Schizosaccharomyces pombe: one gene and its partner. The protein of the gene in region 1 interacts with the protein of each later gene in a biochemical or structural test. Each region holds a gene or a part of one and is shown on either strand. Other genes may lie near its edges.

Evidence for each region. Proteins that work in one complex are often made in the same cells at the same time.
Region 2: the proteins of mcm6 (region 1) and mcb1 form a complex in vitro, tested with the Schizosaccharomyces pombe proteins (one study listed by BioGRID).

The regions. Positions count from the first base shown.
Region 1 is NC_003423.3:3,878,835-3,885,540, reverse strand, and holds mcm6 (MCM complex subunit Mcm6), read left to right. Parts: upstream 1-2,483; 5' UTR 2,484-2,544; coding exon 2,545-5,223; 3' UTR 5,224-5,443; downstream 5,444-6,706. Other genes in the region: gamma tubulin complex GCP4 subunit Gfh1, read right to left, coding at 1-1,608; sap10 (splicing factor 3B), read right to left, coding at 1,946-2,117, 2,173-2,255, 2,318-2,320; gea1 (guanyl-nucleotide exchange factor), read left to right, coding at 5,701-6,706. UniProt on the Schizosaccharomyces pombe protein: Acts as a component of the mcm2-7 complex (mcm complex) which is the putative replicative helicase essential for 'once per cell cycle' DNA replication initiation and elongation in eukaryotic cells.
Region 2 is NC_003424.3:904,355-909,299, forward strand, and holds mcb1 (mini-chromosome maintenance complex-binding protein mcb1), read left to right. Parts: upstream 1-2,442; 5' UTR 2,443-2,529; coding exon 2,530-2,691; exon of another isoform or gene 2,692-2,735; coding exon 2,736-4,079; 3' UTR 4,080-4,445; downstream 4,446-4,945. Other genes in the region: rce1 (CAAX prenyl protease), read left to right, coding at 1-274, 326-778; DNA replication factor C complex subunit Rfc4, read right to left, coding at 775-1,623, 1,679-1,790, 1,934-2,001; SUMO E3 ligase Pli1, read left to right, coding at 4,485-4,517, 4,570-4,945.

The DNA.
Region 1 (6,706 bases):
AACTTCTTGACTACGAAATAAAGAAAGCTCATGGTAAATCGAGTTTAAAGAAATGTGTAAATCATCATCGTAAAAAAACAACATTTTCTTAGCGTAAGTCAACGTTAAAGCATGCAATTGAGAACAGTCTTGCATACGTAACTTTTGTGTTCTATATAACTCAGTAAGAGATTCCCGTAATTTACAATATGACGGCTTTATAACACATTCGTAGGCATAATATTGTAAAGATGATAAGAACCATAAAGTCACCCACAATTGAGTCCATGGTTGAGAAATACCTTTGGCAGTATACTCCTTTCTTTCGTAAAAAAGGGATTTGATTTTAGTTATACTTAAGTGTAAAGAACCTAGTAGTATCCATAAATCGGAATACACATTTAAAGCATTTTTATCCATAAACAAATTGAACGGCCATTTTAAACACAATAACAGTTGCATATTGAGTCCCTCTACATCGATTTTACGATTCTCAGAGCGAATCATTTCATCTTCTTCATCAAAGATACTTACAAGTTTTAGAAAAGATACACATTCTCCATATTCAGTAGCGAGATCAAGTAAAGAAATAGTTTTCCTTAAAACAACGGGTAAAATATCATCAATTACTACCCCTTGAACGTCATTTGAACTGCAATATTCACCACGAACGTCTCTGAACATTTCAGATAATGTTGGAAGAAACTCAACATTTTCAAGTAACATCACCATCTCTAGCATTTTTACCAAATCGAAAATCTGATGAAACGAAGCTAATTGAAATATTATTTTTTCTGATACCAGAGTGAACATTTCATCTGCTAATTTTGTCACTGAAGATTTCGTTAAAGGCAAAGGCATTTCATATACCAGTCTGTAGAAACATCTAAGAATTTCACAGAAAGCGTCTGTGAAACATTTTTTTGCATTGAGCATACACGTTCGTATTGAAACTAAGCAATTAACGATGTCTTGGGTCAAAAAAGGGACATTATTGCTACAAGATACAAAATCTTTAGTATCACCGCATAAAAACGAACATTTGAAGCTGTCATCGCCGGAATCATTTACCAAATACTGCACTAATTCGTCAAGCCAAGTCTTCTGAAAAGCACATTCACACTCTAAAACCAGCTTTTTAAAATTCAAATGAGTAGAGCCCATATACATATTATGCAGCTTTTGAAACGTAGAAGCTACACTCAAGCATTGAGAAATATTACCTTGAAGTACTAGCAGACTAGATAAAGTTTCTTTCCAATCTGCTAAATGCGCTTCTAATTGCGCCAAGGATACGAATTTTCCGGAACCTACAAAATAAGGATCGCTGGATATAATCATCCGCTCTAAATTAGCTAGACTTTCATCATAAAGAAATAATTTTTTCGAAAGCAGAAGTCTAAGAGCTTTAAGAAGAAACTGGTTTTGCTGAATCAAATCTTCATCAAAAATTTCAATATATCGTTCTATCCTTTTCCTTTTACTTGCCAAAGATACTATGTCATTAATTAATTCTCGTTCACCAGGGTGTAATGGTTGAACAGATGGATGCAGTAGTATTTGACCATTTTTCTCAATAAACAGGCCAGAAGTATTCCCTGCGAGCAACAAAATAATCTCATGCAACATATAATGTATTTATTGTTACAGAGTTTGCATGAAAATATTCAACATATAGCCAATTTAAGTAAACTACTCCAAAGGAGGCTTTCGTAGTAAATGAGATAAATAGCTAAAACTTATTCGTGTTACTTTGAAGGTAACGACTAGGGAATGTCTTGCGTTGTTACAATGAACAATAATCAATGTAGCATTGCATATAATTCAATTAATATATATATATATATATATATATATATATTATTTTGTAATAACCTAGTAGGTACTGTTTATCTTAAACAAACAAAGTCTCAGACGAGCGAAGGTTTAACGACATTAATTTTGGGCAACAGGTAAACACAACACTTTAAAATTGATTAGAAGGGGGAGGTGGTCCACATGGCATGATCATTTTTTCTAATAGGTTTTTGCGAACTTGGACTCTCGGTTCGCCGAGCGCCGTTGCCATATATGCGAGCAACGGTGGATGCCCCACTACAGAAGACAAAGTATCCCGGTGCTGATTTACCATCCATTCACTAGTTTATATGGTGAGCGAAAATTCATTTGTCAAATAAACCGATTAGTACTTACTATTTGGTGGTAAACGCATTACCGACACCAACATAACGCGCTTGTAACTGTTCTAGTTTTGCTTGAGAGCGCAACCTGTCTGCCTACAATCGTTAATAAATGAAAGAAGCATAGAATAGAGATAATTCAAGAATTTTTTTCTTACCATAGTATATATTGGAATATGTGGTATAATGTTCAGACTGGGTTTTTTTAACACATATTGTTAATTGAAACGAATAAGGTATAATACTGTAATTTGCAATTCTAAATTGCGATTTCTAGCGCACCAAAGCAACCACAGAAATAAACGTTTCAAAATAAACATTGCTATCCTTTGACCAAAAACCTGTAGTTGCAGTTTTTTGATAATAGGGAGCACTACACTTGAAGATGTCTTCTCTTGCATCTCAGGGTAATAATGCTTCAACTCCTGCATATCGTTATGGGTTTCAAACTTCAGAAGTTGGGGACAGGCCAACTGTAAGTATGCCTTCACAACCTGAGTCGAGTGCTATGCTCGAGGATGATGGAATGGTGAAAAGGAAACCTTTTGCTGCTATAGGAGAAGCCATACCAAAGGTAATTGATACAACCGGAGAATCAGTACGTGAAGCCTTTGAAGAGTTTTTATTGTCATTTTCTGATGACCGCGTTGCTGGAGGTGATGCTCTCCCTTCTGCATCACAAGAGAAATATTATGTTCAACAGATTCATGGATTGGCAATGTATGAGATTCATACCGTTTACGTTGATTATAAGCATTTAACCTCGTACAATGATGTGTTAGCTCTTGCGATAGTTGAGCAATATTATCGATTTTCTCCTTTCTTACTTCGAGCTTTACAAAAGTTGATTGAAAAGTTTGAACCAGAATATTATAGAAGTTCTCTTTCTCGTGAAAATGCTTCACTTTCACCGAACTTTAAAGCCAGTGACAAAACATTTGCTCTTGCATTTTACAATTTACCCTTTCGATCCACAATTCGGGACTTACGAACAGATCGTATCGGTAGACTCACGACTATTACAGGTACAGTTACTCGTACTTCTGAAGTACGCCCTGAATTAGCACAAGGTACTTTTATCTGTGAGGAATGCCACACTGTAGTTTCAAATGTTGAGCAAGCATTTCGCTATACTGAACCAACTCAATGCCCTAATGAACTTTGTGCTAATAAAAGAAGTTGGCGGCTCAATATTTCACAGTCTTCTTTTCAGGACTGGCAAAAGGTGCGCATTCAAGAAAATAGCAACGAGATTCCTACGGGTTCTATGCCACGAACTTTGGACGTAATTTTGCGCGGAGATATTGTTGAAAGGGCTAAGGCTGGTGACAAATGCGCATTTACGGGAATTCTTATTGCCGTTCCAGATGTCTCACAGCTAGGAATTCCTGGTGTAAAGCCAGAAGCTTATCGAGATTCTCGCAATTTTGGTGGTAGAGATGCAGATGGTGTGACAGGACTGAAGTCTTTAGGTGTACGTGATCTTACATATAAACTATCTTTTTTAGCTTGCATGGTTCAACCAGATGATGCAAATGATAAAAGCGGTGCGGATGTCAGAGGGGATGGTTCTCAAGGGATCGAAGAGCAAGATGAATTTTTGCAATCGCTTTCTCAAGAAGAAATTGATGATTTACGTGCGATGGTGCATTCAGATCATATTTATTCTCGTTTGACAAACTCACTGGCTCCCTCTGTTTATGGTCATGAAATAATTAAGAAGGGGATTCTTTTACAGTTAATGGGTGGTGTTCACAAGTTAACTCCTGAAGGTATAAATCTTCGTGGCGACCTGAACATTTGTATTGTCGGCGACCCCAGTACTTCGAAATCACAATTTCTTAAATACGTTTGCAATTTTCTTCCTCGTGCAATCTACACTTCTGGAAAGGCATCATCTGCGGCCGGTCTCACAGCTGCAGTTGTTAAGGACGAAGAAACTGGGGATTTTACTATAGAAGCAGGCGCTTTAATGTTGGCTGACAATGGAATATGTGCTATAGATGAATTCGATAAAATGGATCTGTCAGACCAAGTTGCTATTCATGAAGCAATGGAACAACAAACGATATCTATAGCAAAAGCTGGAATTCAAGCTACATTAAACGCACGGACATCTATCCTTGCTGCTGCAAATCCAATAGGTGGCCGCTATAACCGAAAAACAACTTTGCGGAATAACATCAATATGTCTGCTCCTATCATGTCACGGTTTGATTTATTCTTCGTTGTACTAGATGAGTGCAATGAATCAGTTGATAGACATTTAGCTAAGCATATTGTTGACATTCATCGTTTACGGGATGATGCCATGCAACCTGAATTTAGTACTGAGCAACTTCAACGATATATCAGATATGCAAGGACTTTCAAACCAAAGTTAAATACAGAATCTTGTGCCGAAATTGTTAAAAAGTACAAGCAATTGCGGATGGATGACGCGCAAGGTGCTGGTAAAAATTCATATCGTATTACCGTGCGACAACTGGAGTCAATGATTCGTCTATCAGAAGCCATTGCAAGAGCAAACTGTGTAGATGATATTACTCCTGCATTTGTCAACGAAGCATACTCTTTATTACGTCAATCAATTATCCATGTGGAAAGAGATGATATTGAGGTTGAAGAAGATGATGCAGAGGCCCAAGAACTTGAGAATGATAATACTAATACAACAAATGGCAATGATAATGTTTCTTCGGAAGAAGCTTTGCAGAAACCAAAAGTAAAAATTACTTACGACAAATATGTTTCGATTATGAACGGAATATTACAGGTTTTACGCCAGCGCTCTACTGAAGGTGTAGATGGAGTACCAGCGGGAGACCTAGTTCAGTCATATCTCGAGCTTAGGGAAGACCAATTCCATACCGAGGAAGACATCATCTATGAGGTTGGTCTTGTGCGTAAGGTATTAACCAGGCTTGTTCACGAATCGATCATCATGGAAATTCAAAATTTAACTGACAGCGCCGTGAGGCTTCCTTTTGAAGAACGCGTATTTTCAATACACCCTAACTGTGACATTGATGCTCTACTGAGCAATGGCGATGTTCCGAACTAAGGTTATAAAAGATTCGTAACGATCTCTTATAAGTTTTATCAGTGAGGCGTATTTTTGAAACAGACCTGACATTAATTGTTGAAGCACTACTTTAATTCACGAAATTGGTGTATTTTTTTTTTCCTCACTGCATACCGTAGAAACCCTGATTTGTTATTTTAATCTTTACACTCTTTTTTTGTACTTTTATTCACTAAATTTGATAATACTATTGGATCCTACCGAAAAATATATACTCATTTTCCTGATCTAGACATTTATCAGATTAATCTATGTTTATTTCAAACATATAACCCAGGTAAATTAGTATAGTGATACGTTAAGCAATGTTAATATGTTGAAGCATATCTGCTGAAATCCGTTCAACACCAAAGGAAGGGTGAGACTGTTCAGGACTAAACCTCTACGCTATTTACAATAGTAAACACCTCAAGTTACTTTTTATAAAGACTCTTGATTAGTAGCTACAGAAGGGCTATGGAAGTGCCTCGCGCATCTCCTAACCAAGAGCCGTTATGTTCGATTTCACCGTCCTCCTTGGTGATCAATGAAATTATAACTGTCGTGACGGCAATTAGAAAAACCACGAGATGGAGGAATTCTGGTGTTGCATCCATTTTAGGAGTCTCAACACTTAAAGACGAATTTCTGGCTGATGGTTTAGAAAGCCGATGGAAAACAAATGGCGAAAAAAGCAGTAGTATCCGATATCCATTGGTTATGGAGTTTTCACAGTTAAAAGAAGATTTGACGAACCGTGCTAGCTTAAATGGATACGATAGTTTAAAGCTTCTCTCTCCGTTTTTGAGGACAATCAAGTCCCCACGAATGACAGGTTATATAACTAGCTTATGTTTATCAGCTATACTCAAATTCTTTTCTTTTCGAATCATTTCTGAAGAATCACCCAATTTAGCACTGTCAATGCGTAATCTATCGTTTGCTATTACTCAATGCCGTTTTGAGAGCTTCGATGCTTCACAGGATGAGGCTGTATTGTTGCGAGTTTCTAGGCTAATGGAAGAATTGTTAAGAGGTCCTGGAAAAGCTGTTTTGAGTGATGATTCTATTTGCGAAATTGTTGAAACAGGGCTCAGTATGTGTTGCCAGTCTAGGCTTTCCCAAGTTTTACGCTATAGTGCTGAATTATCGATGACATCTATCCTTGAAAAGATATTTGAACGCTTGAAGTACATTGATGTGAAAACGGATAGTGAAGATTTTTGGGACGCATCCGAAGAACACTCTATCAAAGGAGAGGAGTTCCATTACAAAAAAATCACCGAAGGCGATGAGATTTCAAATGAAATCGATCCCTTCGGTATTGGTTCTATTCGCGAAGTTTTTCGTGTACTAGTTTCCTTTATTGACTTTGGCAAGCAAAAGTTTTCTGATAATATTAAAGCCATGGCATTGAGATTTATAAACACAGCCTTAGAGGTCTCTGGTTCACATATTAGCGATTTTCCTTCGCTTCGAGTAC
Region 2 (4,945 bases), on another chromosome or scaffold:
TAATCGGAATGACCCGAAAGTTATTACGGCACGTTGCATAAGTGTCTTATTAGCATCATCTGTATGTTGTATTTTAACAAGGTTGATCATTGGCCCTTCATTGAATGTATTCACTTTCCCGACAGACCAAGTTTTGAAAAGTTTACTACACGCAGCAACTATATTTATTGGGCCCCTGTATGAAGTTTGGATTGTTGACAAAGAATATAGACTCTTCTTTATACATTTGAAAGACTGCCTGTCGAATGCGATTGCTTGGCGAAACATTATTATTGTAAGTATCATTAATTTCTTTATCACTCCACATTCTCACAAGTCTTTTTAGGGTCCTCTTTCTGAAGAACTTACATTTAGATGTTGCATAGTACCAATTTGTGAAGCTGCTGGGTGGTCAAGGCTTAAAATTATATTTGTTGCGCCTCTGCTGTTTGGAATGGCGCATATTCATCATACCTATGAATTTCTACTTGCCTATCCGAATGCATATATAGCTGCCGCTCTTCAAACTGTTGTTCAGTTTTCATACACCACAGTTTTTGGATGGTATACAACACATCTATTCCTTTCCACGCATAGCTTATTTCCTTCATTTTTAGTACATGCTTTTTGTAATTCAATGGGGCTGCCAACTTTGTACGGAAAAATTGGAAACAGAAATCAGACTAGGATTTATTACACGTTACTATTGTTAGGGGTTTTGATATTTTATATGACTTGGGGTATTACTGATTTTAATAATCATCAAGACTTTGAACCAAGACTGGTGCCATTAAACTAAATAATAAAAGACTCCGGCTTCATCTGTGACTTAGCAAGGCGACATACTAAACCACTTAACTGCAACAAGGTTTGCACACCCTCTAAAATAATCATATGAGTTTGGCCAATTTCCTTAAGCATTTCTAATCTTGAAAATTCCGGAATACTGTCCATTGTCTTTACTACTCTAAACATATTAGTGACAATGTCCACAGCACTGAACCCCAAATCCCATATTCCCTGAAGTTTTTCAAGGGCGACGTCGATGTTTCCAGATTGACAAGCAGTTAGCATGGCATGTATCGCTACAGGTGAAGGCTGATCGGCGACCCGGAAAACGTTTTCACCGTTCACAAGACCGAATCCAGCAACAGTGCTCTGTAGATTGTTCACTGCTTGACGCATATCACCTTCTGCTGTCATGATAAGGGCAGCCAAACCATCATCTGTATAATTGACTTTTTCCGCTTTACATATATTCAATAAACGCTGTAAAACCTGTTGATCCGTAAGACGTGAGTATCGGAGAATTGCACACCGCGATTGAATAGGTTCAATAATTTTGTTGGATTGATTGCAAGCAAGTGCAAAACGCGTTGTATTACTGTAGATTTCCATAGTTCTACGCAAAGCTTGTTGAGCTCCAGCCGTCATACTATCTGCTTCGTCTAAAATAATGATCTTATGCCTTCCAGGTGGCAGTATGACTTTTTTCTGTGCGAATGCTTTAATTCTATTTCTCACTACATCGATACCTCGTTCATCTGAAGCATTTAATTCTAATACACCTTCCTTATATGCTGGGCCAAGTAATGCATGTGCTAAACAAAGAATAGACGTCGTTTTTCCGATACCAGGCATTCCCTATAAATATAAGTCAGCATGTAGTATAAATAATAATTAAAAAAAAATAGGTTACCGAAATAACTAGATGAGGCATATTCCCTTCCTTGGCAATAACTTTAAGTCGGTCAATCGTCTCCTCGTTACCAACAATGTCATCCAGGACGATTGGACGATACTTTTCGACCCTATAAGTTTATAGATCAGCATACTATATTATATTGAACCTTTAAATTATGAAAAGATGCCTGAGTCACCAAGAAGCAATCGTAATAGCTGAACACTAAAACCTTCATAAAGGACGTTTTAATTGCTCATAATATATACATACCATGGCAGCTCATAAGCTACAGAGTTATTTTTCTCTCCAAATACTGATGATGATACTGCATTACTCATATTCAGTGTTATTGAACTAGTAACATCAGTACTGAGTTCCAGTGAACTAGTAAATTTGTTGAGTATTTTAACCACTGCATGGTAGTCACTTCACCCATCGCGAATAGAAAAGAGCATTAATATGTAAATCTGAAAATTTTTTTTATTCTTAAATGCACTATCAAAGCTAGCTTTAAAATATATGTTTGTACAATCGACACAAATGATGAAAACAAGCACATCAATATATTTATATTATTACAAAAACGATCAATAATCTGTAAAATTCTAATATTTTTCTCTTTTAAGAGTAGTAATAAGCAATAGATAACTCTTTAAATTCACGCCTTCTGTTTCTTAATAAATTAAGCTTCTTATTAAGCGAATTTATACAGCAATTAGTACATCGTTAGGTATATGCAACGCCATAGAAAAGGGTACTTAAAGTCAATCCGCTCACGTGAAATGAACATTGCACATTGCAATATCAACATCTTTTATCATTACTGGTTTCAATAGGTTTAAAGGATAAAATTATATATTTATAATATGGTAATTGCTTTATCTGATTCTTTTATCGAAAATCCAAGATCGTTTCTTCAAAGATTTCAGGATGCATTGTTTGCAGGATCTAAGCCCGATTTACAAGGCACTTTAGGCATCGATGAAGAAGTTTCTAATATTTTCGCTACAGAGGAAAGAATAAGAAAGGTTTGTTAAGTGGTTTTTTCTCTTATTTGACACTGAATATTTAGATTCCAAACTATCTTGACTGCAAATGGTCTGAGTTAAAGACTGGTCAACTACTTCGTCTTCAAGGTATGGTGCAAGACACCAATTTTGGGCATGAATTTTTTGCTGGAGCTGTAGAGGTAAATGAAAACATTTGGAGAGGCTGTAGATACATACTTGATTTCAGCGAAGATGAAATGCATTTAGATGAATCTAAAATTGTCCTAGATGAAAGATATTCACTGTTTCTGACAAATGTTCCTGGAGAAAGAACTCTTCCTGTTATAGAAGCTTTGGGAAACTGGGGAAGCGAGAGTCTGAAAGAACGGTCATTGAAGTACTCAAACCGCTTACAAGCAAGTAATGATACCGGCGTTTGTGTTAAATGCTATGGCGGAATGGAAACTAAAGTTCAAGTTTGTCAAGCAATCGATGTTATTGGAATTTATGAAGAACCAAGTGAATACTCGGATGGTTTACCCATTTTACACATGTTATGTTTTAAGGATTATACGCAATCAGCTACTCAAGCCCCTTCTCCTCAGCAAGCTGAGATCATTCGACCAAAAATATTAAAATATTTTGAAAAAGTCCTTGGTGAAAATATAGCTGCGGAAAGTCTTATGCTTGCTCTTCTTTCCAACGTTGTTCATAAAACCACTGGTTTGGTTATAGGTGGTTTTACTTTAAATTTAACAAATTGCACCTCTGAATTAGTGTCCCAGTTAGTTTCTGTGTTACGGCCTTTGATAAAAAGAATGGTGATTCAAAAAGTTAATGTCGCCGAGCTTAACAGGAAGCCGCTTTATCCCTTGAGTGATGGAGAGACATTAGATACTAGCCATTTGCAAGTGGCTCCTGGCACCCTTATAGTTCTTGATGAAACTGAACTATCGAGTGGAACCTTAAACGATGTCGGATGCCGTAACGTTCAGTTTTTGTCTTCCCTAATATCTCAACAGGATTTAACATTTTTTTATCCTTTCAGTTCTTTTACCGTTCACAGTAATGTTCGAATAATTATATTAAGCCATGGAAGATCTATTTTGCCAGCTGATGTCGGTTGTAGATGTAGAGGCGATTCTCCGGACACTATTGAATTTCCAACTGATTCGGATGAGCTGCAAGAGTTTTGTAATTTTTTTCACATGTGGAACATGCGTGCTAATATTCCCGAAAACATGCTGGATTATATTCAATCTACATATGTGAGCTCCCGTCAATATAATAAAGAAATCAATGAAAAAACACTTTCATTACAGATCAATTGCTCTCGTCTCTACGCGAAGAGTTTCGGTCGTCAACTGGTTTCAAGAATTGATTTTGAGGCTGCCCGTAGTCTAATCAATCATTGGACTGTCAACTGATTGATCGCATATTTTCTTATAATCAACATCATTTAACCAATGTTAGAAATTACTTTTCATGTCTTTTTGGAATTTCCAAGTTAATTTCCTCATTCATTCGATCAAATTCATCAAAAGTTCATTTATATTGTTATTTAATTATTACTACAAGTAAAGCTCACTTGCCCGTTTTTTTTTTGTTTTCTTACATTATCACATACCGCACTGCCATATACTTCCTTATCTTCAAATATTAAATTCAAGTTTTGCCAACCAGGCGTTTGCAGAGATTCAAGGAATAAATATAATTCATTGTATTTTTAGCTAAAATTTGATTTCTTTGTCTTTCAAATACCTATACGGAAGCAGTCATTGCATATAACATATGTGTAAATCGACGGTTTAGGCAAGCAGTCTAAAAACTCAATGAACCAGGCGAACTTTTTACAGGAGCTTCCAGTAAGCCCAATAATAAGATATTTACAAGTTAACTAACAAAATGAATGTTTAGAATGTACTAAAGCGACTGGAAACTGGTCTTATTATACCTCAACTGAAAGATATACTTCGTGTTTTTGGACTTCGTCTTTCAGGAACAAAAGCTGAGCTCATTACCAGAATTAAACAACTAATAGAGAGGATAGCTATAGAAAACAACACAACCTCTTGGGAAGCATTGAAAAAGGCAATCGATGGCGATGTTACAAGTGCCGTATGTATCTTAAAGTACAACACATATCAGATATATAGTGCTGCTGCTCCAATTGCTCCACCTAGTTCAGCTTCTGGAAATAGATCATACAGCCGTCCTTTCGCCCCAGTTGTTCATTCGCGAATACGATTTCGAAAAAGTCCCTTTTATGACATTTTGGAACAATTCAATGCAC